Linked DNA regions of Elephas maximus indicus. The protein of the gene in region 3 interacts with the protein of the main gene of each other region in a pairwise test. Links are inferred from orthologs where the notes say so. Each region holds a gene or a part of one and is shown on either strand. Other genes may lie near its edges. The genes, in order: EEF1AKMT1, SERTAD3, NDN and MKRN2.

The links.
Region 1: the proteins of NDN (region 3) and EEF1AKMT1 interact in a two-hybrid assay, tested with the Homo sapiens proteins (2 studies listed by BioGRID and IntAct). The link is inferred for Elephas maximus indicus from reciprocal best matches to the Homo sapiens genes NDN and EEF1AKMT1.
Region 2: the proteins of NDN (region 3) and SERTAD3 interact in a two-hybrid assay, tested with the Homo sapiens proteins (2 studies listed by BioGRID and IntAct). The link is inferred for Elephas maximus indicus from reciprocal best matches to the Homo sapiens genes NDN and SERTAD3.
Region 4: the proteins of NDN (region 3) and MKRN2 interact in a two-hybrid assay, tested with the Homo sapiens proteins (2 studies listed by BioGRID and IntAct). The link is inferred for Elephas maximus indicus from reciprocal best matches to the Homo sapiens genes NDN and MKRN2.

Annotation. Positions count from the first base shown.
Region 1 is NC_064841.1:51,169,260-51,176,627, reverse strand, and holds the start of EEF1AKMT1 (EEF1A lysine methyltransferase 1), read left to right. Parts: upstream 1-4,367; 5' UTR 4,368-4,384; intron 4,385-7,368. UniProt on the Homo sapiens protein: Protein N-lysine methyltransferase that selectively catalyzes the trimethylation of EEF1A at 'Lys-79'.
Region 2 is NC_064829.1:111,219,699-111,227,173, reverse strand, and holds the start of SERTAD3 (SERTA domain-containing protein 3), read right to left. Parts: upstream 3,019-7,475; 5' UTR 2,830-3,018; intron 2,258-2,829; exon of another isoform or gene 2,035-2,257; intron 627-2,034; 5' UTR 358-626; intron 150-357; 5' UTR 144-149; coding exon 1-143. Other genes in the region: BLVRB (flavin reductase (NADPH)), read right to left, coding at 5,472-5,629.
Region 3 is NC_064831.1:99,136,144-99,142,870, reverse strand, and holds NDN (necdin), read left to right. Parts: upstream 1-4,561; 5' UTR 4,562-4,681; coding exon 4,682-5,665; 3' UTR 5,666-6,227; downstream 6,228-6,727. UniProt on the Homo sapiens protein: Growth suppressor that facilitates the entry of the cell into cell cycle arrest.
Region 4 is NC_064838.1:37,722,749-37,730,769, forward strand, and holds the start of MKRN2 (E3 ubiquitin-protein ligase makorin-2), read left to right. Parts: upstream 1-5,011; 5' UTR 5,012-5,116; coding exon 5,117-5,142; intron 5,143-8,021. UniProt on the Homo sapiens protein: E3 ubiquitin ligase catalyzing the covalent attachment of ubiquitin moieties onto substrate proteins.

The DNA.
Region 1 (7,368 bases), on a different chromosome or scaffold from region 3:
AATTAAAATTTTTAACTTACACGAAGACTTTTCAGTTTTTTAAAGAGACCCAGGGATGAGTATATTGTTAAAATATTTACCTCTACTGAACATAACTATGAAGGTATAAAGTTGCATTTGATTTTTCAAAAGATGCTGCAATATGATTTTAAGAAGTAAATCAAGGCTATGTATTGAACTAGTAACAAGCTGAATATCAAATTTATAAAATTTTATTTGTATTTTTAAAATCCATAAATGGGAGTTAAAATATGTCTTTTCACTAAATATTTTTATTACATTTTTGTTTTGACCATGTGTGATTTGTTCATGGGTATTTAGCTAGATTCTTTTATGAAACTTGTTGAAATGGTGCTAGTTTGTTTACCATCATAGGATGATTGACACAGGCGACCTTACACAGTCATAAAAAAACAGGAAATATTGTATAGCTAAACTTGCATTACCTTGTAGGGGAAGCCCCAACCCTAATAGAATACCCAGTTCTCAGAAAGAAAATAAAAATTTTGTTTATATTCTGTAACATTTAGTATGTTTATTTTTACCTCAGCCAACAGTCTTAGAAACAGTTTGCATTATTAGCTAAATCATTGGATTTGGGGCACGTTTGTAGTAAACATTTTTAGTAGTTTGAGTCATTCTTTGTGGCCTTTCAGGGGAAGTGGAGAATCACCATTCTGTTACATGCTAGACAGACTTTCCACCCTTCGCCCAATCTGAAATCTTACGAACATACAGTCATGTTTTTAAGGAAGAAAATAGTTTGAAAATATATTTGTTTTAAAATTGATTTTGCTTTGAATGTTCATTGATTTATAGTGGTATTTCTTAGGTTATATTCAGACTTGATTACACTTAAAAGGATGGAGAAAGAAAAATTAGGTTATTTACAAAGACTAGAGTGTGTTTCTAGTCTGTTTCCTCTCTTTCATTACTAAGGGTGGGACCTTAGGCACAGGCCAACCATCTGTCATTTCAGAGAGCCATAAATGATTTTAAAGGTCCTAAATACAAAAATCCATTACTGGTTTTTAAAGACATCTTTAAGATAATGGTACACTCCAGAAATACCATAGGTTTATATTGAGTGGCTTATGAATGATGGGAGCCCTGGTGGTGCAGTGGTTAAGAGCTCAGGCTGCCAGCCAATAGGTCAGCAGTTCAAATCCACCAGCCGTTCCTTGGAAATCCAAGGGGCAGTTCTACTCTTCTATAGGGTCCCTATGAGCCAGAATCGACCCAATGGCAATGGGTTAGTTTTTATGAATGATGATTTTGGTGTGTTGATTAATTATGGGTTTGTTATGTTTCGAAGCATAGGATCCCAGCCTGTGTATTCTATGTATAATCTCAAACGGCAGTTCAGTCTTGACTTTCTTTTAAAACTAAGTAGAAGCAAAGACCATATTTGATGAAATCATTGAGAAAAATCTTTGCTTGGAAATTCCATACAGCACTTAATGGCACATACTGCCTCAGTCCTAGCACATAAATCATCCTATTATGCACTTTCCATGTAAATTATTTTTACCATCCAGCATAAGAGTGAACTGAGGTAAGTCATTGATGTTTTCCAGAGTTGATGAAGAAAATGAAACAAAGAGTTTAAATATTTCTATTCCCATATTAGCAGTTTTTGATACTTTGGTTAGTCTTACAAATATTCTTTTCAGTCAGCCCAAAATCTTAGGTGGTAATCGTCATTTGCATACCTCCTAAATGTGCTGCCCCAGATGGTTCTCTCTGAGGACTGGTCTGGTAAAGCTATTGGAAAAGGTGGAGTACAGGACAGGTAGAGCGACCTAGATTCAATTCCTAGCTTGGCCACTTAGGATCTACATGAATTTCCAGGCATCTGTCATCTGTATCACGGAATCATAAATGCTGTTATTCTCCAAGGAGAGGTTTACAAACATAGTGATGTATAAAATATATGTTCAATAAATTCCATTATATTTAAAGATTTTTTTCCTAAGAACACATTTTCATTAGGTAAATGTTTCCTAACATGAAGTCTAAGGCCTGATAATCATTAATTTTTAATTCTGTGGTATATTCACATTGATAGAATATGATCCTTACAGATCTGGTCACAGCCACCATAGTAGTACTGTGACAAAGTTCACCATACTATTTACTGTATCTTTTTTTTTTTTTTTAAAGAGAAAATCAACCCAAACCCACTGCCATTGAGAGAAAATAGGTTTATGTGAATCCACAGTTGCGATTTCTGCTGAATGTATTCCTATTCCTATAGCAAAAAATTTCCTGTGATTCCCAAAGTTTCACACATCATTAGTTCTTCATAACTTAGTCTGTTATCAAGTTTGTGAGAAATAAAATGGATTTCTTTACTATGAATGTAAAGGCTTTAATACACTAATACTCATTGTGAAGCTCTGAAAGATCTTAACCAGATTTTCCTCAAAGCATCTAATGGGCCTGAATTCTAGGGAACATGCTTCAGATAATTGAGTAATTTGATGATAAAGCACTCAAATAATGGAAGAAAAATACCCGTGTTCATTGTAGTTACAGGTAATGTGTTCATTGCAGTTACAGATAATTAGTAGTTGGTTTGGTTTTTTTTTTAAATAGGAAAACAGTCTGGCTTCATCTTTATCTTAAAAGATCTTCCCAGAGTGACTTCGGTTTCTCTTTTTGCACACTTTCTACAAGGAATTTGACTTTTAGATATGAACAAAAGCCCTTTCTGAATATGCAAAAGGAGTAATTCCTGAATTGAAGTTAATCTGAAAGCATCTTTCAAGTCCAGTTTAACTTGATAAGTAATTTCCCCTTTGTTCCAATGAGAATTACTTTGCCTTTGGTATTTAAAGTTTTGATATGCAAAAACCATTACAATACAAATGTTTAACTAGGAAAATATTAATCTTCATGTATTACTGACATGCTGTCTGAGGAATCAGCATTATTGATAGAGGTATAAATATTGAAACTTCCTGACGTCTGTGGTCACTTAATTATAAAAATATTGTATGGTAAGTGATACACATTACATGAAGGTAACTACTGTGTCTTACATGGTTTTAAAGCAGTTGAAGTTTTGAAAGCTTAAATCGGTTTCAAACCAAAAATAGTTTGCTTTCACATAAACTTCTCTGTTAAATTACAAGCCAAGGCAATCTCCTGTGTATGGAACACTATGGAAACACTACCTCTGAAAAATACACTCCATAAAAGTTGGTTAGTGTTTCTTGGTTCATGTTAATTGATTTTTTTTTCTAAGTTTGATATATTTTCTTTCCTGAATTACACCTGGTTTTGAAATACTTGGTTTAATGGACTTGTCATCAGTTTGAAATAAAGTCAAATGAAGCATGCTTTGCTCTAGACCTGAAAACAATACTTAAATAGAAATTATGGTACACCCGAAGGTCTGAATTCAGTGTTTCATAAACTACTGAGTCACACCAGTTGGTAGCTGGCCAATTCATTTATAGCCTCACCTTATACCGGAAAGAATTTAAAGTTGATCAGCAGAATATATAAAACTTAAAAAAAAAAAATGAAATTGATAAAGGAACACAATATACATTGTTTTGGGGAATAGAAAGTAAATACATCACTTACGATTTGGCAACTGCCAAGGTGGAAAAGACCACTTAATAACTGCCGGTAATGTGCTAGGTACTACGCTAGATGTGTTATACGTTTTACTCATTGTATTCTAACTTGTGAAGACTGTGAAAGAAGTCAGCTGACCAAAAAGCATCTTATATTTCCGTTCATTTTCATAGAGAATGTTGCTGCCTCACAATCGGTAGCTGGTTTTATTTCCGTGTGAAGAAGACAGCTGTCTATAACATCTGTTTCACACACCAATCCGATCTTGCACTCTTTTACACCTCTTGGCGTTCTTTGCAGCAAACCCCATAATGAAAGATGAGTGCGGATAGATTTAGATTAACCACAGTAAACAGGTAGGTAACGATGCTGAGGAAATCTGATTAAGGTGCACGGTTTTTTCTTTCAGGTTTTAAATTTCTAATCCTATCAGTGTTATAAAGCCTCCATTTAATATCTTAACTTCACGTGAACACAAGACATACGAAGTCTTTGTAACTGAAAACCTATATTTACTCTTGGTTTCTTAAAATGCTTAACTTGCAGTGAATCTAGTTAAAATATTACACTTTTTTTCACTGCCATCATCCTTGGAAGTGAGATGGAAAAATGTGCGGGAACTCCCAGCAAGTCAGTCTGTGAGAAGCAGATAAACGCCTGGGTCGGAACGCCTACGGGAAACCGCCCTTCTCCAGCCTTCCAGACAAACATGGGCCAGGGCGTCTGCGCGCGCGCGCGGGTTTAACTTGCCCCGCCCACGTCCTCTGCCCTTTCGGGAAACTGCGCAGGCGCGGCGGTGAGTGTACACTCGGCGGTGGTTGTCGGGCTATCACTTGCTGAGGGGATTTGGGGTCGGTTATGGGTCTTTGTTCCTTCTTTCCCTCATCCTTTTCCCAGCGGAATTAGGTAGTGGTGGCGGGGCAGTGGCAGACTCGCTGAGCCGAGCGGGGCGACCCGGTTCCTTGTTTGGCGCCGGGAAGTTGGGTGCTGAGGGGAGCAGTAACCTACCAGACCGGGTGGCACGTGGAGAGCGCCGGACCAGGCCTCGCCACTTCTTTATGTTCTATGAACAAGGCTTAGCAGTATGCAGGCAGGCGTCTCTGTTTAATAGTGGACGACGGTCATCCACTCAGCAACTGTCAGTTGAGGGCTGATAAAGCAGGTACTGTGCTAAACCAAAAAACTCAAACCCGTTGTGGTCTAGTCGATTCCAACTCATAGCGACGCTACAGAACAGAACAGAAATGCCCCCATAGGGTTTCCAAGGAGCGGCTGGTGGATTTGAACTGCCGACCTGACCTTTCAGTTAGCAGCCATAGCTCTTAACCACTGCGCCACCAGGCCTCTGCGAGATATTTTAGCGCATGAAATTGAGAAATCTAAAAAAAGCAGGATTTACTTCAACGTGAGTGCAATTGAGTGTATTGCTTTATTTGTCACAAACTGGACAGATAACATTTTCAGTCCAGAAAAAAAGTAGCTATGGCACTGGGTTTTCTGGGTTTACTTATCCCCCTTATTACAAGGTTTTTAAAATCACTAACATAAAGAGTTACCTGAAGTCTCTGAAGTTTTTCTAGGAGCTAGGGACCCCTGGCACTGTGCTGGGGCTGGGGAATGAAGTTGGATACAGGAAGCCTCGGCTCTTCCAGCAGACAGACAAGGGAGTGAGGAATTCGGCTGTGCCAACTAGCCCCTCTGGTACAGTGTGAGTGCTGTGATTGCAGAAGTACAGCAAAGGTGGGGGACGTGTATCAGACCAGAAGTGTGTCTTGATAGATAGGGGTTGTGTGTTCGTTCATGGGGGTATCAAAACTCATCGCCTTGTGCATTTAAGATCTGCATTTCACTATAGGTAAATTTTTCTGCAATTTTTTAAAAGTTAATTAAAAAAAACAATTGTGTAAAGCAAAATTCTACCGCAGTTTTTTAAAAAGTTAAAAAAAACAAAAAAGAATGAGAAAGCAAGAGGGAGGGAACGTTTTAGGCAGGGAACTACATATGCAAAGAAGAAAATTAAAGATTATGAGCCAACTTTCCTGACAATAAATCAGATTAAGAGTAGAATCATAGTGCAATATATGAAAAGTATTTAGAAAACATCCAGGCCAGTCTCCATTCATAGAGAAACCTCGCAGACTAGCCCAAGTTTTCTCAGCCATTTAGTCAGGTATCTGGGTTGAATCCTAGGTTATTGTTCTTTCCACTGGATCGTACTACCTCAATCTAAATTTCTTGCAGAAGGCAGTGTGGTACTATGTAAAATTACACAGTAGGAGATCTTGCTTTAAGAAAATTTGGTATGTGGAAGTTGAGGAATGGCACGTGATTATATATTTGAAATGTGATTGGATTTCCATATTACTCCTTAGGATTACATTAGTTATGTGAAGCACTATTTAAAGAAATGGAAGCTAATCATGGCCCATTGCTATTGTGTGCCCTCCAGTCCATTCTGACTCATAGTGACCCCGTAGGGTAGAGTAGAACTGCCCCATATGGCTTCCTAGACTGTAACCTTTACTGTAATCTTTAAGTAGTACAACCAAAATGTCCCTTAGAAGCAAGGATGAGGAGACTTCATCTTACGTATTTTGGGCATGTTATCAGGAGGGTCCAGTCCTTGGAGAAAGATATCATGCTTGGTAAAGTAGAGGGTCAGTGAAAAAGAGGAAGACCTTCAACGAGATGAATTGAAACAGTTGCTGCAACAGTGGGCACAAACATAGCAATAATTGTGAGGATGGTGCAGGACCAGGTCACCATGAGTCGGAACTGACTCGACAGCACCTAACAACAATCTTTACTGGAGCAGATCACTAGGTCTTTTCTCCCTCAGAGCAACTGGTGGGTTGCAACCTCCAACCTTTGGATTAGCAGCCAAGCACTTAACCACTTTGCCACCAGGGCTCCTTTCCACAGCTCCTCAGGAGCCTGCTAATCTTTGCTGATGCCACACATTGATGTGTCCATCGCTTTGTTCATGCTGTTCCTTCTTTTTCTAATCCTCACTCTTTATTCCTGTCCCTCAAAGCCAAGCAAGCTCAAATACTATGAGTCAGAATCGACTCGACAGCAACAACGGGTTTGGGTTTTTTTTTTTTTTTTTTGCACTTCTATCCTCTTCCCATCCATGCCCTTCAGTTTGGTCCGTGGCACTGAATGGCACTCTGTTAGAGGGCTCACCATGTTATCACTATTATTTGTCTATGAGCAGGGTTTCTCAACCTCTGTACTATTGTATTTTGAGCTAGATAATTTCTTTATTACTAAGGGCTATCTTGTGAATTGTAGGATACTTAGCAGCATCCTTGGCCTCTACTCTCTAGATGCCCGTAGCACCCTCCCTAGTTATAACAACCAAAATGTCTCCCAGCATGGTCAGATGTTTCCCTGGTGGTTAAAATCACCCCTGATTGAGAAGCACTGACATGGAGTATGAGCTATGTGATGCTCAAGGTCAGTTTAATAATAATACAGTACAGCACTGCCCAATTTTTTTAGAGTTGAAAATCTCTTTCACAGTGTTATTACAAACCAGCTTAGAAATTATTTTAAAATGCAAGAGATATTTTGATGTGTAAGTTTTTTAAAAAAGTTTTTAAACTAAGGTGAAACTGCTTGATGGATAAAGTGTTTTACTTTGGAATGATGGAAATGTTTTAGAAGCAAATAGAGTTGGTGGTGATTACACATTGTAAATGTACTAAATGTGACTGACTTGTTCACTTTGATTTTATGTTTTGTGCATTTCACCTCAGTATTATTTTTTAAAAACAA
Region 2 (7,475 bases), on a different chromosome or scaffold from region 3:
GGGCCCAGGCTGTGCTGGACCTTGTCTAGGGAGATGCGGAGCAGGGCTTGCTGATAGCTCCTTGGGCCTGCTGGGCCCCAGCCCCACTTCTCCTCCTCTTCCTCCTCTAAATCCGAGTGTTTCCTCTTCAAGCCTCCCACCATGATGCCCTGTGGAAAGGAGAGGGGCAAGTCAGACACAGCAGGGCTAGTTCAAATCCCACTTTCTTGCCTGTATGGTTATTGATGATTTTAATTATCTGAACCTCAGATAAGTTTCCTCATCTATAAAATGAATCCCACAGGGATAGGGAGAAAAGTAAATGGTTAAGAAAACAAGATCTGGACTTAAATATAGCTGGGATTGAATCCTACTTACTTGCCTGTGTGGCCTCGAATAGTGAATTTACCTCCCTGAGACTTGTTTCCATCTGCAAAATGAGGATCCTAACTCAAGTCTCTTTGAGTCTTAAAACTGGTCTTTCCATGATATTTATTTCTTCAAACATGTCACACACAAGACAGGTGTGGAGTACAGAGACCTGGACAGGAAGTAGAGAATCCTGGGTTTGAATTCTGTCTTTGACACTGCTCGGCTGTGTGATGGAAGTGACATGACATCACCCTTTTGGGACTCAGTTTCCTCATCTGTAAAATGGGGGTTGTAAAGAATACTTCTCACCACATTGTCAAGGAGATCACAAGTGTAATATGCACAGGGCCTACCACACAGGGGGGGCTTAATGATCAGAGTTAATTGCCATTTATTCATTCAATAGTAATTGCCATTTATTCATTCAATAGTTTAAGAGTGTCTACTATACTTGAGCAACCTGGAGCCCCAAGACGCTTTTTGCACAGGAACGATATTTCTGTCCGTGTCCTCTTCCTTAACTGACTGGGAGCGCTCCCAAAAACAGAAAAGAGGCCTCCCTCATCCCCTATGCTTCACCTTCTGCTTCCCTCAAAGTGCACCCCATTGGAAAACTTGCTAGAACTAAACTACGCCAAGCCCCGCCCCCTTAAGATACACCCAACCAGAACTTGGGTCTCCACAGGCCCCGCCCCCTCACTGGATCGCTATAAAGCCTCCAGACACGCCCCTGTCTGGACCATGGGCTTCTGGGAAATGTGGGTCTACAGCGGCCAACAGAAGAACCAACGCTGAGCGTACACTACAATCCCCAGAGGGCTCGGCGGGCCACAAGAAGGAAACTCCCCCCACCCTCCCTCAGGGCATGCGCACAGGGCGCCGGGTGGGTGGGGGAAGGGAACCCGGACGTCCAGCTGCCCCGCCCTCCACTGCCTCCCGGGCGGCGGGTCTGAGCTCCACGCCCAGAATACCCCTCCCCCACCCCTGCCTCCAGCTCTCCAGACTGCTTTCTCCCGGTCTCTCCGATCCCAGAAGGTCCGGATTGTTTCCCAAAATTGCCCTGGGACTGAGAGATCCAGGACCCAACACGTATCTCGAAGACTACAAATGCTGTCCGATCCTTCGGGAGACTAGGTATTCCGATCTGGAGACTCTCCCCTCAACTTTTGCCCCGGTTTTCAGGCGCCCCTGGACTTCACCTCCAAACTCCCCCTCCGGCTCCGAGACCCGAACATGGAACTCTCCCGCAGCACTCTCCCGGCCACTGCGTCTGGGAGACTAAGACTCTCTCTTCTCCAAATGCCCGCGATCCCAGCTCTAAATCCCCAGCCCCAAACTCCTCGCACCTTTTTCAGAACATGGGGACCCCGAATTCAACCCGTCCGGGAGATCCAAACTGGCCTAATCTCCAGATGCCTTGGCCACAAAGTTCCTTCCCTTGGTTTTCTCGCTGCTCCAAACACCCTGTGTCCCAGATTCAAACTCCCTCCATTTGAAGATCCCGCCCGAACAACTTCGCCTCCCATCCCCGATCTCGAACTCAGTCCGCTATTCCCACACCTCCCAAACCTCATCAGCCACCCTTAGCCTGTGCTTCCCACTCCCCGCCACCACAATTCCCGGGATGCGCTGCCACCTCCCCGGAACCAAGGCAGATCCCAAGCCGGGCAGCCAGTCCCTCACCTCAACTGCCTGGCGGCTCAGCGACAAGCTCGCAGAACCTCTGCCGCGCTTGGACCCACCGGTGCTGGGCTGGGGCCTCGCTCACCGTCCCGGGGCCTCGCAGTCTGGCCTCAGGCCCTCCCAGCTCCGCCCCGGAGCCGAGCCGCGGGCCGCGATTGGCTGGAGCCCTGCGCGCCGCGGGGCACCGATTGGCTGGGCGGAGCCACAGGCCCGTAGCCAGGAGACGCCCGGCCCGCCCTCCCCTGCCCCAGTGCTCCGCGCCTTTTAAAGGATTCCGACTTGCCAGGGGCGGGGCTACGCCTCCACGGTGGAAGACGGCAGGGGCATTAAAACCACTTTCTATGACTTTTGCTTTCCTAGCTCCGAGGTTGTCAGCACTGCTCTCTGAAATCCCCTTATGCCACGCCTGGACCCTGGGGTGGAGGAAGACCCGCTGGCACACCCCGACCCCGCTTCCCAGTAGGGCGGGGCCGAGAAAATCGCTGAGGCCTCGCCTCCGGGGTTCCGAGGGCTGACTACGGGAAGCAAGGAAGATGACGCGGCGGAAGGGTAGCCAATAAGCTGGCGCGGCCTGTGTTGCCTGGGCGACGGAAGCCCCGCCCCCTCGTTGCCCTTACTCTCTAGCCGCCCCCACTTTACCGGATGGCCCCCTCAATCTTTGGGACTTCTCGCAACGCCCTCTGATCTCCCTCCTGCATCCCCCTGCTCCCCCATCCTTACTCTCAGAATGGTGCCTTCGCTGCTGAACACTCGTTTATGGCTCCCTACTGCCCTGGGGTAAAGTCCAAACTCTACCTTTGCCACAATCCCTTTGCGGTCTGTCCCGAGGTACACTCTTCGCACGCTACGATCCTGCCACAGTGATTCATGTCCCGTTTTTCTAAAGTGGCCTTAAACGCCCTCCCCCACCGCGAAGACAAGAATTTTGTCTGTTTTCTTCCCTGTCTTATCCCCGGCGCCTACAACAATGCCAGTTACACAGCAAGTCCTCAAAAACCAGGATGAAAGACCTCTGGGTCTTTCAACTGGTTTCCTCATTCTGAGACCCCTGTGCCGCCGTCGTCGAGTGGATTCCGACTCACAGCGACTCTATAGGGCAGAGTAGAACTGCCCCCATAGGGCTTCTTAGGCTGTAAATCTTTACAGGAGCAAATCGCCACATCTTTCTCCAGCGGTGCAGCTGGTGGGGTTCGCACTGCCAGAACTTTCGGTTAGCAGCGGAGTGCTTAACCACCGTGCCACCAGGGCTTCTCCTCGTTCTAAAAATGTACCCTCAATTCCCAGACTGTCTTTACTCATCTCAAAGGTTCCCTCCTCTCGGAAGCCCTCCTTGACACCCCAGATTGGGTTGGGCCTGTCCCACGGCTTCCTGGCCTCCCTCGTCCCCCCCTCCCCGCACCGCGCTGCCCGTGCCTCCCCCACCCCCCCGGACCCCTCTGCCCGTGTCTCCCCCGACCCAGCCCGACCATCTGCCGGCGCCTCCCCCCGGCCTGGTCCGGACCCCTCTGCCCAGGCCTCCCCAGTCCCAACGCTGACTCCTCGGAGCTGTCACAGTCTGTGCGTCCCCTGAGGATAAGAACCAGGGTTATCCCAGTCAAGGCCTGGTCCCTAGCATCACCCAGCACAGGGCTGAACACAGTGAAAAAGTTTGTGAAATGCTCAGGCACTGTGACAGAAAGAATAGACAGCGGGCAGAGATAAAACTGCTGGAGCTCGGAAAGACTGACCCAGCGAGGCCTCACCCTCACGGCAGGGCTTCCCTGCACGGGGGAGGGGGAGGGGATAGTTTTCTCCAGTCCACTCCTGGGAGGGCAGGTTTAAGGCTCCTCAGACCAGTTTTCACCGGTTGGAATTTGTCATCCCAGCCAACCTGCTGTTTGCATAAGCAGTATAGGACTGGAATGGATTTTCAGGGGGCGTGGGGGAGGGCAGGAGGTCGGAGGTAGGGAGAGAGGGGTGACTCAGCCAGGTCTAGGAAGTGTCCCCCGGGAACAAAGTCAGGGGACAATAGATTCCAGGGAGGAACATGGGAAGGGGACAACTTTTTCCCTTCCTCCTCCCAAACCTATCCTTCCTCCAGGGTGCCCCCACTGTAAGCCCGTCTTCAGGTTGCAGCTGTGGGCTTCTTCCTAGATGCCTCCTTCCCCTCCCCCACAGCCTGTCCACTCAGGTTCCTCCCAGCCGTCCTCTCCTCCCCTCCCCTCAGCCCCTACCTAGCTCCAGCCCCATCCTCCCCCTGGGCTCCCAGCCTCCAGTCTTGCCCCTTCTAATCCACCTCCACGCAGTACTAACCAGAGGAAGCTTTCTAAAACACTAACCGTGACTGCCTCCCCCTTCCCCCCCGGCCCACCCTATCTCCCTCCTCTGCCTCACCCCGCTCCATGCCTAAAACCTCTGATTAAAGCTCAGTTTTTTACAAGGTCTGCACAATTAAGCCTCCATGGAGCTGATCACTCCCCACCTCAGCGCGGAGTGTTAACTGTAAACCCGTTGCCGTCCAGTCGATCCGATTCACAGCCAACCAATAGGACAGAGTAGAACTGCCCTGTGCCATAGGGTTTCCAAGGCTGTAAATCTTTACGGAAGCGGGCTGCCACATCTTTCTGCATGGCGGCTGGTGGGTTCGAACTGCGGACCTTTCTGTTAGCAGCCGAGGGCTTAATCACTGCACCTCCAGCAAGGGCTTCTTGTATTTACTGTAGGGCACAGATTTTAGTCCTTCAAAGGAACCCCGTGTTTTCTGACCTGGTCTTTGCTCCTATTGTTCCTTCTGCCTGGAATGACCTAAAACCTTCCCTGAGCTAGTTATTACCAAACCTTTAGGCTTCAGCTCAGACATCCCCTCTTCCAGAAAGCAAAAAGCTCCTCAAGCTAGGTCAGGGAACCCCTCTGTGCTCTCCCAGCCCACTGTACTTCCCCCATTAGCGCCCTGGTCACTCTGGATCAGCAGGGTTGTCTCCTCCACTGGACTGTGAGGGCCATGAAGGGGCTCACAGCTACCTCGGTCACCACCAGACAAAACCAAAAAAAAAAAAAAAAAAAAAACCAAATCAGTTGCTGCAGTATCAATTCCAACTCACAGCCATTCCATATGTGTCAGAATAGAACTGTGCTTCACAGACTTTTCAATGGCTGATTTTTCATGTAGATTGCTAGGCCTTTCTTCCGAGGTGCCCCTGGGTAGACTTGAACCACCAACTTTTCAGTTAGTAGCTGAGCACTTTACGTTTGAGCCATCCAGGAATTCAGACACAGAACAGGGACTCAATAAACTTGCTGAGCGAATGAATCAACACCCAGAAAATTTAACACAGAGTCCGGTCCTCTAGAATAATTTGAAGCCCTTGGCTCAAGATTTATTATTCCCTGACTCCTGGGCTGTCCTTCCTTTGTTCCCCATTCCCCAGAATGCCATCCTCCTGGGCAGGGCCAGAGCCCTAGTCGTACTGGTGGGAGGGGTAGGTGCTGTGCCCGTCGTACTTGTTGGTGGTGAGACAGTGCAGCATGAAGTGGCCCAGGTCATGTTTGGAAATGACCCTAGAGGGCCCTCGTCCATCCAGGGTCACTGAGTAGGCCCCTGTCAGCGGCTGGTCCCCTGTGAGGCAAAGACAGAGGGGCCAGGTGAAGCAAATTGTCCTTTCCCCAATACATGATTACCCTCATGACCTTCCCAGGGTACCTACTGCATACCCCCCCATCCCCGAAACCAAACCAAACCCTTTGCTGTCGAGTTGATTCCAACTCATAATGACCTTATAGGACAGAGTAGAACTGCCCCACAGGGTTTCCAAGGAGCAGGTGGTGGATTTGAACCGCTAACCTTTTGGTTAGCACCAATGCTCTTAACCACTGTGCTACCTGGGCTCCACCGCGTGCCCAATTGCTATAACATCCTACAATATGTGAAACCCTTCCCATGTGCAGGGTGCTTGTATAAGTTCTTTACTTCGCTCATTCGACAAACCCTTATTGATTACCCACTATGTGCAGGTGCTGGGCACACAGGAAAGGACAACAGAGACAAGCAACCTTGCTCTCAGGAAGCAGACATTCACTAGGGAAAGGCAACTAATAAGCTAAAAAAGATAGACAAAACGGTGGGTGAAGAGAAATAAAGCAAAGAACAGGCTAGAAACTATTATCAACCCCATTTTACGGACAGGCAAATTGAGTCTTGGAACGGCAAAGGTGATAAGTGGCAAAGGCTAGATTTGAACCCAGATCTGCTCTAAGCATGATGATGCTTTCTGCCCTCTGGACCTTTCTAAGAGCCCTGAGTGATATGTCCCAGGCATGGATCTGCATGTTATAGGCAGTGGAAGCAGACACATTTTTCTGACCTTGGGGACAAGGTGTTGATATTTCTGGAGCCTGGGAGTATCACTAGGTCTTTCTTAAACTCTGGGGATAGTGGAACAGGCTTGGCTTATTGTTGAAAGGGCATTTAGTGACTACGTTATGATAATTAAAAATTACTGGAAAAGTGTCCCTTTACATCCAGAAGATCTGACAGTGACCAACTTCATGTAGGGATCAAATTCAGCATCACCCATTGACAGACAACCTGGAATAACGTGCAGTAAGACACACAACCTCACCCATGTATTAGTCCTGCCGAAAATGTTCAATCTGAGTCTAACTGTGAGAAAACAAGAAAAATCCAGAACGAGGGGCATCTGAAAGGACGCCTGGCCTGGCCAATGTCGTGAGAGGCATTAAAAACAAAAGGTGGGGCGGGGGGGCTGTTCTAGATTTAAGGTGATGGGGCAACTAAACATCATACGTGATCTTTGATTGCGTTCTCATTTGGGGGGAGAGGAGGTTGAAAAGATACTTTGAAAATTGGGGGGAATCTGAATATGGCCCAGTCCATTGCTGTTGAGTCAATTCCAACACACAGTGACCCTAGAGGACAGAGCAGAACTGCCCCATAGGGTTTCCAAGGCTGTAAGCAGACTGGCACATCTTTCTCCTACAGAGTGGCTGGTGGGTTCAAACCGCTGATCTCTCGGTTAGCAGCTGAGAGCTTTAGCCACTGATGCTAAATGATATGACAGAATTAACATCAATATCTTTCTTCTTGCCTGTTGAGTACAGTGGGTTGATGTCCACAACTTACACTGTGCAGAAAAAAAAAATACATACATATGTTTAATTTTACCTGAATCCACAACCAACACCCATGCAAGCAGCAGTCAAGATATCAAAAAATGTATTGCACTGGACAAATCTGCTGCAAATGACCTCTTTAAAGTGCTAAAAAACAAAGATGTCATTTGGAGGACTAAGGTCTGCCTGACCCTGGTATTTTCAATTGCCTCATATGCATGTGAAAGCTGCACAATGAATGAAGAAAATTGATGCCTTTGAATTATGGTGTTGGCGGATATTGGATATACCATGGACTGCCAGAAGAATGAACAAATCTGTCTTGGAAGAAG
Region 3 (6,727 bases):
CCCACCATATACCTCAAGAAATGGCACCACCATTTCTCAGACTGCACTGCCCAAACTCAGTCATCTCCAGGACAGAATCTTGGTTGTCCCTGGTATTCATAGTTAGCCCCTCATTTTTCCTTATATCTTCTCTACCATCCCTACTGAAAGTCAGTTGCCTCTGTTCCCTTCTCTCTGACAGCATTGTGGTTCCTTCCTGATATGCATCACGATTAATGATTATTTAGTTACTCATTTGTTTTATTGTTTGTGGCTCTTTTCCACCACCACTTCCCATACTACAGATTGCAGTGACCATGTCTTTCTTATTATATCCCCAGTACCTAGCACAATGGTTGAAATTTAGTGTTTAATAGTTGCCATGTGAAGATGAACTGCAAGCTTTTCTCACATGGATTCCTGCGAAAATTTCCTAATTGGTCCCTTTGTCTCTACTTGCCCACCTGCCCCAAATTCCAGACTTAATCCTGTAACCAGGTGATCTTTCTAAAAGACAACCCTGACCCTTACTCTCTGAGTGCTGGCAGGCTGCACTGTGGATCTGGGCAGGACTAGAAGGTCTCCAGTGAACGGTTGAATCTCCTCCCCTGCACTCTCCCAAATGTGGAAAGCAGCACTGCCTATCCTCGCTTCTTATTATTCTCTGACAAAAAAAGGTCTAGCTGCCAAATAGTCCATGATGTCATTGGTTTCCCCCTTGGATTGAGCTACTTTTCTACAATGCAAATCTGTGAGGCACATAACAAATACTGCTCAATAATAATTGCTTAACAAATTAACATGAGTTCTGTTTCAAACCTGTGGCTTGTGAGATCTTTGGTACCCTAGTTGGGGGTCCAAGGTGGATGGTGCTGTCTATGTAGAAAGAAAAGAGCCAGAAGGATTTACTTTTCACTCAGGGCCTCTGGGCCTCTGCACCATGAGCATGCTCTGTCCACTGGAGGCTGTCAGAAGTGGCCCCCTTCCCCTGCTTACTATGGAAACCAATGCCAGGACAGGCCTCTCCTCCTTTCCTAAGCCTGTCTGCCAAGAACGGCCTATCCCACAGCTGTTTAATCTGTTCCACATTATAGTTTGGAATAACCAACCAGCAAACTGTCTACTCCAGAAAATTCTTCATATACTTTCCATATACTTGCTGCATCCCTGAAGCTTCTATTTACAGAATCTTGATTTAAAGAATATCCTTTTCTTAGTTTCTTTGGGGAGATACTATCGTAAGTATCAGGCTTCTGCTTCTAAGCTGCTGCTCCTGAGAAGACTAATTGCCCAGATCAAAAAGGGCAGTCTCGTGGATACCGAGCAAGTCTAATTTATCCCCAACACTCTTGGAACATCGCTGGAGGTCCAGCCCCAAATCTTGACCCTTGGGTTTAAGCATTTGTGCATACCTCATGAGCACTGGTTTCCTATTCTTTCCCATAATGTCAGCTGTCATTTTCCTTATAGTTTTGAATTCTTGCATCTTTAGTTTATGGGTTGGCACCTTATTAAGTAGCTACAAAATCCTTCCCATGGCACATGTGCACGTGTTTTCTCCCCTTAAGCGCTATCCTAAGCTTTACTTTGTTTCCCCATCTTATTGAATTTTCTTCTTATTGGGAAATCGAGCATCTTCATCAGATCTTTTCCTGGGAAGAAAATAACAGTACCAAGGTATAGTTGGGCTTCAAGGGAGAGTAGCACCAGAGATTTACTCTGTACCTGATTTCAAAATTGAGAATCAGTTTTGAGGCTTTAATCTCTCCTAAAATAATCCCTATGTGGTTCTAATCCACAGGGTCTGTAAGAAGTGAGGTGTGAAATGAGCTGTGGCAGAGGTGCGGGTGTACTCTCCAGCATAGCGTCGGTGACCTCACCAGAATGAGGTCCAAGCAGGAACTCAATTATCCAGTCCTGCTCCAGGCAGCTACTCAAGCCTAAGGAGCTTTCTAGTTGAAGATCTGCTATCCCACTTCAGTAATAACTGATTTTTGTAACAGCTGTGCCCAAGCTTGCAATTTGATTTCATCAATTTGCTAAATCTAGGAGGGTAAACTGTGAGGATGTAGTTTTAATAAATTTGCATCAGCAGAAATTATGGCCCATGGTGAGAAATGAGCTGAGATTTAAATAATAGGCTCAAACGTCCTAATTTTTAAGACATTAAATGAACTTAATATTTAATTCAAATAATTAGAAAAATATAAAAATCCAAACTAAAGAAAGAAGAGGAAAATTAATGGAGGTTAAAGTATTATATTTAAGAAGCATAAGAGCAAAAAATCTATACAAGCACCATTCTAAAAAACAAAGAAATAAAGGTATATCATACTTCTGTAAGATATATTCAAGAAAATGTTAGAAATTTATAAATTAAAGAAGAAGCTAAGTGCAAAAAAAACAACTAAAACAGATCTGTATGATATGTAGGAATTATACTCGTGATGTGGGTGGCTAAGAAGTCCTGTTGGAGGAACCCATGGAAGAGTGCTTCTTCTAAAGGTGACACGTGTGAAAGAAAACCCAACGATAAGAATGAGACAGCACAATACACAGTAATGTGCCTCATAACATCCGTTCAGGCAATGTCCAACCACATATCTGACCCTAGCCCCATAAAGTTATAATAGAGCTCAGAAATCTTGATAGGAGAGCCAGACATGGCAGATTTAGGCATATCACACTGGACAATCACCACGATCCTCAAAAACAGAGAAAAACAAACTGTTAAAGGATGGGATCCACTGAAAACTACAATGCTAATGAAAATTGGAGAGGGACTTATATCAGACATAAAGAAATTGGTAATGATGTGGACTGAGGACCAAATACAAAAGCAATCCCTCTCACCACATTGACCATCACTGCTAAGGCACAATGCTTGTTCAAGATGCGTAAAGAAAAACCAAGATCAGACTGTGATATCAAGTCTATTGCTTGCTCTGGGTGGTTCAAGCACTTCAAACAACATTTTTTGCTGTTTAATGTGAAAGTAAATGGTGAGTCTGTGAGTGCTGATTCAAAGGCAGCAGAAGAATTTGTTGGAATCTTTGATAAAGTATTTGTAGAGGGAGGTTATTTTCCCCATGAAATTTTTAATATGGACAAAACCCACTTATTCTGGAAGCAAATGCCTGAAAGGACCTTCATCCATAATATGGTGTACACACAATGTCCCAATCACATAACATCCTATTTCATAGGACATATTGGGGATCTTAAGCGATGCATGACTGTAAATAAATAAATCTACTTGAGAAATAATAAAGTGAGAAATGAGGAAGGAGATATAACCAAGTTAAGAGAGGACTGTAGATATGTCAAGACATATTTTAAACAAGCTTTGGGTTTCAGGTGACAATAGCCAGACCTGAGATAGCATATTTAAGAGGAGCCGCTGATTTGAGGAAACTCAGCAAGGGCTGAAGGACAAAACTCAGCTCAGACCGAAGATACTGATCAATCTCAAGAGCCCTAGTCCCAGGGGCTTCAACGCAGGCCCCTTTTTTCACGGATACGCCCTTGGAGTGTCAGCTTCATCTTTGCCCACTGCCGATGGGTTTTCAGCACTTGGGAAACAAGACCATAAATATGTTCATCTTCTACCTTTGAACATGTGAGAGAGACTGACACATATCTATGCACCCCACATCTAAAAACAATATGAGGAAGGCCTTGGGTGAAGCTCCCAAAGGTGGGACCATTCAGGTGCTGCCAGAGGGTGGGAGTGGGATCATCTGAGAAGGTAGGAGCATCCACATGAACACAGAGTGGAGGTAGAAGTAATCAGGGGTGGGAGTGTTTTGGGCAAACAAGGAAAAATACATTAGCATACAAGCTTGTGCTAATAAATATGACAATCTTTGTATTATAGGAACTTATGGAAAAGTCGAAATGAAATAAATGTAACTCAAAGGAAATGGAAAACCAAAATCAATGACCATTAAAACACTAAGGGTTAGTAGCTTATTATCTCCAAAAACGTTCAGTTTTCACATGGCCTGATAGAGAATGACTTTAATTACATTCTGTGTTTCTCCTTATAATGCCTCTGGTTTGCTAGGGACAACATCAATTTTTATTGGTGTTTCTCAGGATTCCAATCTCAGACACCCTCCTCACAGTTTATACAGTTTCTTGGGCAATCCCGAATGCTCCCTTGGTTTAAATTATATTTATGATAGCCAAGTTTACACAACAGCATAGACTTTTCTCTAGGACTTTTGTATCTAACTTGATTCTGGTGGAATTCTGGTTGAACATTTATTCCCGTTGAACATTTCCTGAGAAACTTGACCTCAAGTCTCTCAAAAGCTTAAGTTATCTTTCCCCATACACCTGCCTCTTCTCCAGCGGCCACCCGCCTTGGCCCCTACCCCCACCTCTCTAGCCCAAACAGGAAATCTGAACTCATTCTTGCCATCTTGCTAGTGGAGGTCTCTAGCCTCTTCCCTGGCACCACTGCAAGACCGCCCCTTCGGGCTCGGCCCCGCCCCGCCCCTTTGGCTCTTGGCCCGGCCGAGGGCCCCCGCCCCGCAGCCTGCAGACGCGCAGGCGCGCTCTCCCGCTCCGCCCCGGCTCTCCGCTGCGGAAGGCGCCGCGCAGTAGCGCGCACTTCCTCTCCAGGAGTCCGCAGAGGGAGCGCAGATCCTAAGAGCTCCGGGACGCAGAGGCCCTGCCCTTGTCAGACAGAGCAGACATGTCGGAACAAAGTAAGGATCTGGGCTACTCCAGGTTTGCAGCCGAGGCTTCCCATGCCGAGGTGTGCATTAGCCCTGGGGTCCCCATGGAGGGTCCGCCGCCAGCCTCTCAGGCCGCCACCCTCGGAGAGCCGCAGAGCCTCCCTTTTAGCCCGATGGACGCCCCCCAGGCTTCGCCTTCGCCCCAGGCCCTAAGCGACGAGGGGGACATGAGGGCTCTGTTGCTGGAGGAGGAAGAAGACTGCGCCTGCCAGGCCCAGAGCGCGGCCCAGGCCCAGCCAGGCCTGGCGCCACCGACCCCTGCTCAGCTGGTGCAGAAGGCTCACGAGCTCATGTGGTACGTGCTTGTCAAGGACCAGAGGAAGATGGTCATCTGGTTCCCAGACATAGTGAAGGATGTCATCGGAAGCTACAAGAAATGGTGCAGAAGCATTCTCAAACGCACCAGCATCATCCTCGCCCGAGTGTTCGGGCTGCACCTGAGGCTGACCAACCTGCACACGATGGAGTTCTCGCTGGTGAAGGCGCTGGAGCCGGAGGAGCTGGACAGGATGGCGTTGAGCAACCACATGCCCATGACAGGTCTCCTGCTGATGATTCTTAGCCTCATCTACGTGAAGGGCCGCGGTGCCAGAGAGAGCGCGGTCTGGAACGTGCTGCGCATCCTGGGGCTGCGGCCCTGGAGGAAGCACTCCACCTTTGCGGATGTGAGGAAGGTCATCACGGAGGAGTTTGTTCAGCAGAATTACCTGAAGTACCAACGCGTTCCATACGTTGAGCCACCCGAGTATGAGTTCTTCTGGGGCCCCAGAGCTTGCCGTGAAATTACCAAGATGCAGATCATGGAGTTCCTGTCTAGGGTCTTTAAGAAAGACCCCCAGGCCTGGCCTTCCCGGTACAGAGAAGCTCTCCAGGAGGCCAGAGCCCTGCGGGAGGCTGAGACCATTGCCCACGCCTTCCGCAGCAGTATTTCCGAGGACTAGCAAGGTCGGGAGGCAGATTGATTGATCTGACCCTCACCAGTGCTGTGGAGGGGTGGGGGGCGTTAGAGTATTCAGGATTTACAGTGCAGTGTTTCACGTGTAACTTTCAGTTTTCAGTACAGTGCTTTTATACCATTTAATGCAATGTTGTATTCATTGGGGTATATTTGCTAGCGTTTAGGATTTATGCATGTTTGCTTATAAGTAAGCTTGCTTCATGCTTTCTCTCTTGTGCTACCTTTCTTGGGTTTTTGTACCAGAGACGTGCTAAACTTGTGAAATACATTGAGAAATTTTCCATCTTATTCTTTTATATGGAAGAGATGATGTATATTGGGATTAAGACTGCTCATGGAGAGTTTTGAAGAACTCTCCAGTAAAGCTGGCCAGACCAAGAGAAATGTCAAGGCCCCTCTCTGTCCTTGCTGGGCACAGGAAATACATCTGTGGGGAGTGGGAGTTCAGTGATTTGAACTGAAGTGGTCTCAATGTGGGTAGTTGGCACACTTTACTGAAAACAAGTACAGTCCCACCATCAGTAAACATTAAAGATCTTGTGATACAATCATTTTTGGAAAAGTGTCCTTTATATATGTTTTAAACAAAGTAGTATTGTTGGTAATGAGACAGCATTGTCAGTTTTACAAAATGTACAGACACAACTTGCTCAGCTAATAGGGTATAAAATCACTACTCATCATTGTCATGAGTCTGTGAAGCTTAGTTTTATTTTTTATGTAACTCACATGTTCGTTTCAGAAACTGACAAATACAGAAAAGTATAAAACAAGCAAAATTGCTCATAATCGCATTGCTCTATTAAATCACAGTTAATAGAGCAATTTCCTTAATTTCATTTTCTACATTTATTAAAATTAATAGCTTTAAAAAACTACGCTATGTTTTTGAGCATTTGAAGAGTGAAGCATTGTACTAAACACTTCCATGTATTTAATCCTCATAACAGCCCTGTGAGGCAGGCACTCATTACATCTGTACCAAGGAGGAAATTCTGGAACAAAAAATCATTAACTTTCTCCAAATCATAAGCTTATTAAGAGG
Region 4 (8,021 bases), on a different chromosome or scaffold from region 3:
TGACCTCATGCAACTTCTGATCTGATTTCTGTCTCTATAGTTTTGCCTTTTCTAGAAATTTCATACAATACGTAATCTTTTGTGTATGGCTTAATTTATTTAGCATGATTTTTTTTTTTTGAAATACACCCATGTTGTTGCACGTATCAGTTGTTCCTTTCTTTTTTATTGGTGACAAGTATTCCATTGGAGTCCCTGGGTGGTGAAAATGTTCAGTAAGCTCAGCTGCCAACCAGAAGGTTGGAAGTTCAAGTCCACCTAAAGGTGCCTCAGAAGAAAGCCTGGCAATCTACTTCCAAAAAATCAACATCGAAAACCCTATGGAGCACAGTTCTATTCTGACACACATGGGTCACCATGGGTCAGAGTCAACTTGATGTCAGTTAGTGGTGGTAGTATTCCATTATATGAATATACCACATTTTGTTCATCTCTTCACCAGTTGACAAACATTTAGATTGTTTGCAGTTTTAGATTATTCTGAATAATGCTGCTGTGAACATTCATGTACAAGTGTTTGTGTGGATACACATTTTCATTGCTCGTGGGTAGATACCTAATGGTGTGATTGTCAAGTTACATGGTAAGTGTATGGTTAACTTTTTAAGAAACTGCCAAACTTTTCCAAAGGGGCTGTGCCATTTTACAGTCCCACCAATAATGTATGAGTGTTCTAGTTTTCTCCATATGCTCACCAACACTTGGAATTGTCAATGTTTATGATTTAGCCATTCTAGTGGGTGTGAATAGCAGTGGAACATTGTCTGATAGCAGTGGAACATTGTCTGATATAGTGCTGGAAGATGAGCCCCCAGGTTGGAAGGCACTCAAAAGATGACTGGGGAAGAGCTGCCTCCTCAAAGTAGAGTCAACCTTGATGACGTGGATGGAGTAAAGCTTTCGGGACCTTCATTTGCTGATGTGGCACGACACAAAATGAAAAGAAGCAGCTGCAAACAGCCATTAATAATCTGAACCTGGAATGTACGAAGTATGAATCTAGGAAAATTGGAAATCGTCAAAAATGAAATGGAATGCATAAACATCGATAATCCTAGGCATTAGTTAGCTGAAATGGACTGGTATTGGCCATTTTGAGTTGGACAATCATATAGTCTACTATGCTGGGAATGACAACTCGAAGAGGAATGGTGTTGCATTCATTGTCAAAAAGAACATTCCAAGATCTATCCTGAAGTACAATGCTGTCAGTGATAGGATAACATCCATACACCTACAAGGAAGACCAGTTAATATGACTATTATTCAAATTTACCTACCAACCGCTAGGGCCAAAGATGAAGAAATAGAAGATTTTTATCAGCTGCTGCAGTCTGAAATTGATCGAACATGCAATCAAGATGCATTTATAATTACTGCGATTGGAATGGGAAAGTTGGAAACAAAGAAGAAGGATCAGTAGTTGGAAAACATGGCCTTGGTGATAGAAACAATGCCAGAGATCAAATGATAGAATTTCGCAAGACCAGCGACTTCTTCATTGCAAATACCTTCTTTCACCAACATAAACGGTGACTGTACACATGGACCTCGCCAGATGAAACACACAGAAATCAAATTGACTACATCTGTGGAAAGAGACGATGGAAAAGCTCAATATCATCAGTCAGAACAAAGCCAGGGGCCGACTGTGGAACAGACCATCAATTGCTCATATGCAAGTTCAAGCTGAAACTGAAGAAAATCAGAGCAAGTCCACGAGAGCCAAAATATGAACTTGAGTATATCCCACCTGAATTTAGAGACCATCTCAAGAATAGATTTGATGCATTGAACACTAGTGACCGAAGACCAGATGAGTTGTGGAATGACATCAAGGACATCATCCATGAAGAAAGCAAGAAGTCACTGAAAAGACAGGAAAGCAAGAAAAGACCAAGATGGATGTCAGAGGAGACTCTGAAACTTGCTCTTGAGCGTCGAGCAGCTAAAGCAAAAGGCAGAACTGATGAAGTAAAAGAACTGAACAGAAGATTTCAAAGGGCGGTTCGAGAAAACAAAGTAAAGTATTATAATGACATGTGCAAAGAGCTGGAGATGGAAAACCAAAAGGGAAGAACACGCTTGGCGTTTCTCAAGCTGAAAGAACTGAAGAAAAAATTCAAGCCTCGAGTTGCAATAGTGAAGGATTCCATGGGAAAAATATTAAACGACTCAGGAAGCATCAAAAGAAGCTGGAAGGAATACACAGAGTCAATATACCAAAAAGAATTAGTCGATATTCAACTATTTCGAGAGGTGGCATATAATCAGGAACCTATGGTACTGAAGGAAGAAATCCAAGCTGCTCTGAAGGCATTGGCAAAAAACAAGGCTCCAGGAATTGACGGAATATCAATTGAGATGTTTCAACAAGCAGATGCAGCACTGGAGGTACTCACTTGTCTATGCCAAGAAATATGGAAGACAGGTTCCTGGCCAACTGACTGGAGGAGATCCATATTTAAGCCTATTCCCAAGAACGGTGATCCAACCGAATGTGGAAATTATAGAACAATATCATTAATATCACACGCAAGAAAATTTTGCTGAAGATCATTCAAAAACGGCTGTAGCAGTATATCGACAGGGAACTGCCAGAAATTCAGGCTGGTTTTAGAAGAGGACATGGAACCAAGGATATCATTGCTGATGTCAGATGGATCCTGGCTGGAAGCAGAGAATACCAAAAGGATGTTTACCTGTGTTTTATGGACTATGCAAAGGCATTCGACTGTGTGGATCATAACAAACTATGGATAACACTGCGAAGAATGGGAATTCCAGAACGCTTAATTGTGCTCATGAGGAACCTGTACATAAACCAAGAGGCAGTTGTTCAGACAGAACAAGGGGATACTGATTGGTTTAAGGTCAGGAACGGTGTGCGTCAGGGTTGTATTCTTTCACTATACCTATTTAATCTGTATACTGAGCAAATAATCCGAGAAGCTGGACTATATGAAGAAGAACAGGGCATCAGGATTGGAGGAAGACTCGTTAACAACCTGCGTTATGCAGATGACACAACCTTGCTTGCTGAAAGTGAAGAGGATTTGAAGCACTTACTAATGAAGATCAAAGACCACAGCCTTCAGTATGGATTAAACCTCAACATAAAGAAAACAAAAATCCTCACAACTGGACCAATAAGCAACATCATGATAAACGGAGAAAAGATTGAAGTTGTCCAGGATTTCATTTTGCTTGGATCCACAATCAACAGCCATGGAAGCAGCAGTCAAGAAATCAAAAGACGCATTGCATTGGGTAAATCTGCTGCAAAGGACCTCTTCAAAGTGTTGAAGAGCAAAGATGTCACCCTGAAGACTAAGGTGCGCCTGACCCAAGCCATGGTATTTTCAATCGCATCATATGCATGTGAAAGCTGGGCAATGAATAAGGAAGACCAAAGAAGAGTTGATACCTTTGAATTGTGGTGTTGGTGAAGAATATTGAATATACCATGGACTGCCAAAAGAATGAACAAATCTGTCTTGGAAGAAGTGCGGCCAGAATGCTCCTTAGAGGCAAGGATGGCGAGACTGCGTCTTACATACTTTGGACATGTTGTCAGGAGGCATCAGTCCCTGGAGAAGGACATCATGCTTGGCAGAGTACAGGGTCGGCAGAAAAGAGGAAGACCCTCAACTAGGTGGATTGACACAGTGGCTGCAACAATAAGCTCAAGCATAACAACGATTGTAAGGATGGCGCAGGACCAGGCAGTGTTTCGTTCTGTTGTGCATAGGGTCGCTATGAGTCGGAACCAACTCGATGGCACCTAACAACAACAACAAGAAGTGGGTGTGTAGTGGTATCTTGTTGTGACTTTAGTTTGTATTTCCCTAATTATTAATGAGGTTCTTGGATGGTACAAACAGTTTGTGCTCAACTACTAAAGACTGATGACTTGAACCCAGCAGCAGCACTGCAGAATAAAGGCTTAGGGATCAGCTTTCGTAGAAATTTCAGCCAAGAAAACGTGACGGAGCAGCTCTATTCTGTAACGCATGGGGTTGCTCTAAGTCAAAATTAACTCAACAGCAATGGGTTTGATTTTGTGGTTTTAATTGTTAATGATGCTGATGATATGAGCTTCTTATGCTGTGCTTATTTGCCATTCATATATTTTCTTTGGTAAAGTGTCTTCCCATCTCTTAATTAGATCTTTATTTTTGTACTGAGTTTTAAGGATTCTTTATTCTAGATACAAGACCTTTGTCAGGTAAATGATTTGCAAACATTTTCTCCTGTGGCTTTTCTTTTCTTAGCAGTGTCTTTTGAAGAGCAAAAGTTTTTAATTTTGATGAAGTGCAATTTGTCATATTTTTCTTACATCATTCAGATGTCATAGCTAAGAAATCTGCCTAATCTAAGGTCATAAAAATTTTCTATATTTTATTCCAAAAGTTTTGTAATTTTTGTGCTTACATTTCAGTAAGAGCTAATTTTGAGTAAATTTTTGTGCAGGTTATAGTAAATCAGAGTAAGTTTGAAGACTGTCTTTTTGGATTTCCACCGTAGGAAGTGAAGATGAACATCACAGGAATGTCAGGAAAGGAAAAGAGGACTAAAAAGTAGGGTGGGAATAGAAATTTTGAAAAAAGGGTAAAGAAGAGTCAGAGGGGACTAAAAATTCCTTAAGGGGGAAAGGGGCCTAGGGAGTGCAAGCCTGGATGAGTAGGGGTATTTGGGATGAAAGTGTGCGGGGAGGAGGCGGGAGCTCGGCCAGGGGAAGGTGTGAGGAGACCCTAGAGACAGCAGACGTCGCTAGGGATTGCCACTGGAGACCCGGCCAAATCCTAAGAACTATGAGGACCCGGAACTAGTCGGGGAGAACTAGGACGCCAGCCAAGACCCGCCCCGGAGGCTTAGAAATGCGGCACACAGACGGCAAGGCTAGGGGGACCGGACCATGCCCACCCTCTGCGGCGGAACCAATTATGACGGCGGTCAGGTTTCTGGCCGGCGCTACAAAAGTGCCACACGCGGAGGGCGGTGCGCGCCGACGTGACGCGGCCGCGCGGGATGGGCAGGGCCAAGGCCGAGGCGGTGGCGGCGAGGGCGACAGCGAGAGGCAGTGGCGCGACGACTGCCCCCCAGCCCGACCACCATGAGCACCAAGCAGGTCACTTGCAGGTCCGTGCGCGGCGCCGCGGCACAGGCCGCCCGTGGCCCGAAGGGTGGCCAGCGCCCCCCGGCGGGCGCCGCGGAATCCGGGGGCGCCCCTTCCCGGCCCCGAGCAGCCGCAGCGCCCTAGCCCTGCGGCCGGAGCAGCGAGCCCAGGGCCGAGTAGAGTCGTGGGCCTTCCGAGCGGGTTAGCGCGCTGTCGGAGCCCGAGCCCGGGCCGCGGCGGGTGCGGGCCCGTGTCCCCCGGCCGAGCTCGGAGCCGCGGGCGCGGCGGGGCAGGCTGCGCAGCGGGCTTGGGCGCCTGCGGCTGGGAGGAGGCCGGCTGGGCCGGAGCGGGCCGGGGGTGGGACGCGGTCTCCTGGCGCCTGCAGTGTCGCTGGGAAGGGAGATTTGAAACTGAGTGAAGGGCTCTGGTGGTTTCCTAACGAGGGCACCACGCCGCGGTGGGTGGTTACGCGATTGAAGATCCTCGAAGAATCTGGGGGACCCAGAGCCCCTTCGCTTCCCGTCAGCCAGCCTTTGACTTTCTAGCTGAAAAGCTGAAGATTTAGTTGGAAGGACACGGATGTAACCTGAACTGGCATAGAATTAGTAAAAATTGTGCAGAAAATAACACAGGGAGCGTTTACCGAAAACCTGTTAAGCATCCCGCATGTTACCAAGCCTTTTATATACGTTGTCACTAGAGCTCACAGCGAGGCACATTTGCTTCCATTTTACGGTGCGTGAAACTGAGGCTGAAAGAGATTGACTGATGCCCTCATCTTACTGAGAGACCCATTTACTGGAGAAATGCTCGCGACAGCAATGGATGATTTAGTGTAGAAAATTCAAAACCAGATGGCTAAGGTCTGATTGCTGCTGTGAAATGGAAACAGCTTGGTTGCGTAACACTCTTACTCCTTCGTTAGCTTGTAGCTTAACGGTATTGGAACCCCAGTCCTGTTGAATTGTATGCTTGGAAGATACAAATTTATTTTAATAATTGATATTAGCAATACCTGTTTGGGAAACATTGCTAAAAAAAAAAAAAAAAGCTGTATAGTTTGGTTATGTAATAAACAGTTCATTTACATATAATCGATAGTGTTACTTCTCTTCATTAGTATGAATAATTGATAAGTGACTGTTTAAAGCTTTCTGTTAGCATTAGTGTGTATAAACTGTTCATCCAGTTTATCCAAGGCCCAGGTGGCTTTTGTTAAGCAGTTGTTAGACATTTGATGAATTTAGTGTCCATAGAAAAGACTTTTGCTAGGTTATTTGTACTAGAAGGTCTTTTTTTGATCTCTGCATATATATTATTTGCGTATATTTTTTCTCCTGTTGGAGGGAATGCTCCTATGTCTTTGCGTACTAAAAAGCAAATACTAGCTTGCTACGTAGGAAGTTTTATCTATTCCTCCATCTACTTTTATGGTTTAATTCTACCATTCTTGAACCCAGTCTACAGCTCGTAAAATGTCTGCAAAAGAGGGCACCTTTATGTAATGCTTTATAAGTGAATCACAACTCCTTATAGTATCTAATTTTAAAGATAAGGAAAGCTTACACCCAGAAGTACTTGAAACTTGCCCCAAATTTTACACTGAAGTGCAGAATTAAGAATTTAAATCAGGATCATCTTGTTTTATTCCTTCTACACCCCAAGATGGCCTGACCTGAGAACTTTAATCCTGTATTTCCCAAACAGGGGCATCCTATAGAATATTGTTACATGTAAACTAAGAGTAGGTTGGAATGTTGGGAAAAGATCTCCATTTAGGGGGCTGATGTATGTTCTGGGTGCTTTTTAGGTGCTCTACCAGCCATGTCTCACGTAATCCAGAACCAACACCATTCCACAGATCGCACAAAAATCCACTCAGTGGCAGAGGTGTGACATTAGAGTCCATGCTCTCATAAACTATATGGCCTCCAAATAAGTTTGGGAAATGCTAAGTTAAAGCTTCTGACTGTAGGATTTTTCTAAGGTTTTAATATGGTCATGTGAAGGGAAAACGCAAACATTTAGAAAGGAAAAGGTGTTTACTTGCAAAGGAGTATGAGGGAAGTCAGACCTCAGAAGCACTTCCTTGCCAAATAAACATAACAAGTATTTTAAAAAAAAATCTGCAAAATTACCAAGAGTACCAAGTTTTGTTTTGTTTTAATAATATTGTGTTTTGGGTGAAAGTTTACACAGCAGATTAGGATCCCATTTAACAAAAATTGGTCCAGTGACATTGGTTACATTCTTCACAACGTGTCAGCATTCTCATTTCCATTCTGTTCCGTTTCCATTAATCTAGCTCTCATGCCCCTGCTTCTAATCTTTGCATTAGGGTAAATGTTGACGGTTTGTTCTCATACAGTGGATTATGTAAGGGAGTACAGTACTCACGGGTAATATTGTTTATTTTATAAGCCAGTCTATTATTTGAATGAAAGGAAGTGGGGTACCTTTAATCTGTGTTACTCTATCTGAGCAGACTTCCAGTTGCCTCTTCTACTTCCAGACCCGTATACTCTGTGTTTTAAAACTCTTTAATCAGGCAAGCAAATGCACAGAAATGGGAATAGACACAGGGGTCTTCATCCCAATGCCAGTGCCCTGTTCATTATTGGACTGTCCCAGTATATTTATTACATTCAGCTCTGCAAGGTGAACTTTACTGCCTGCTTCATCACAAACTAGCTTTTTTTTTTTAAACCTCTTAAGTGAGATTTTTCAGTCATAAAGCTAGCTTTAGTGTGATGGTATTTGATTGGCCAACAGCCAAGTAGACCGAGTGCAGTCTATTCTAATGAGGATGAATGGGATGATGTTAAGCAGATGACAAGTTAGCTTAGGAAGTCTCTTTTGTTATAATTGCAGTAATTTTTCAACCAGTGCTTGGATTAGCCTT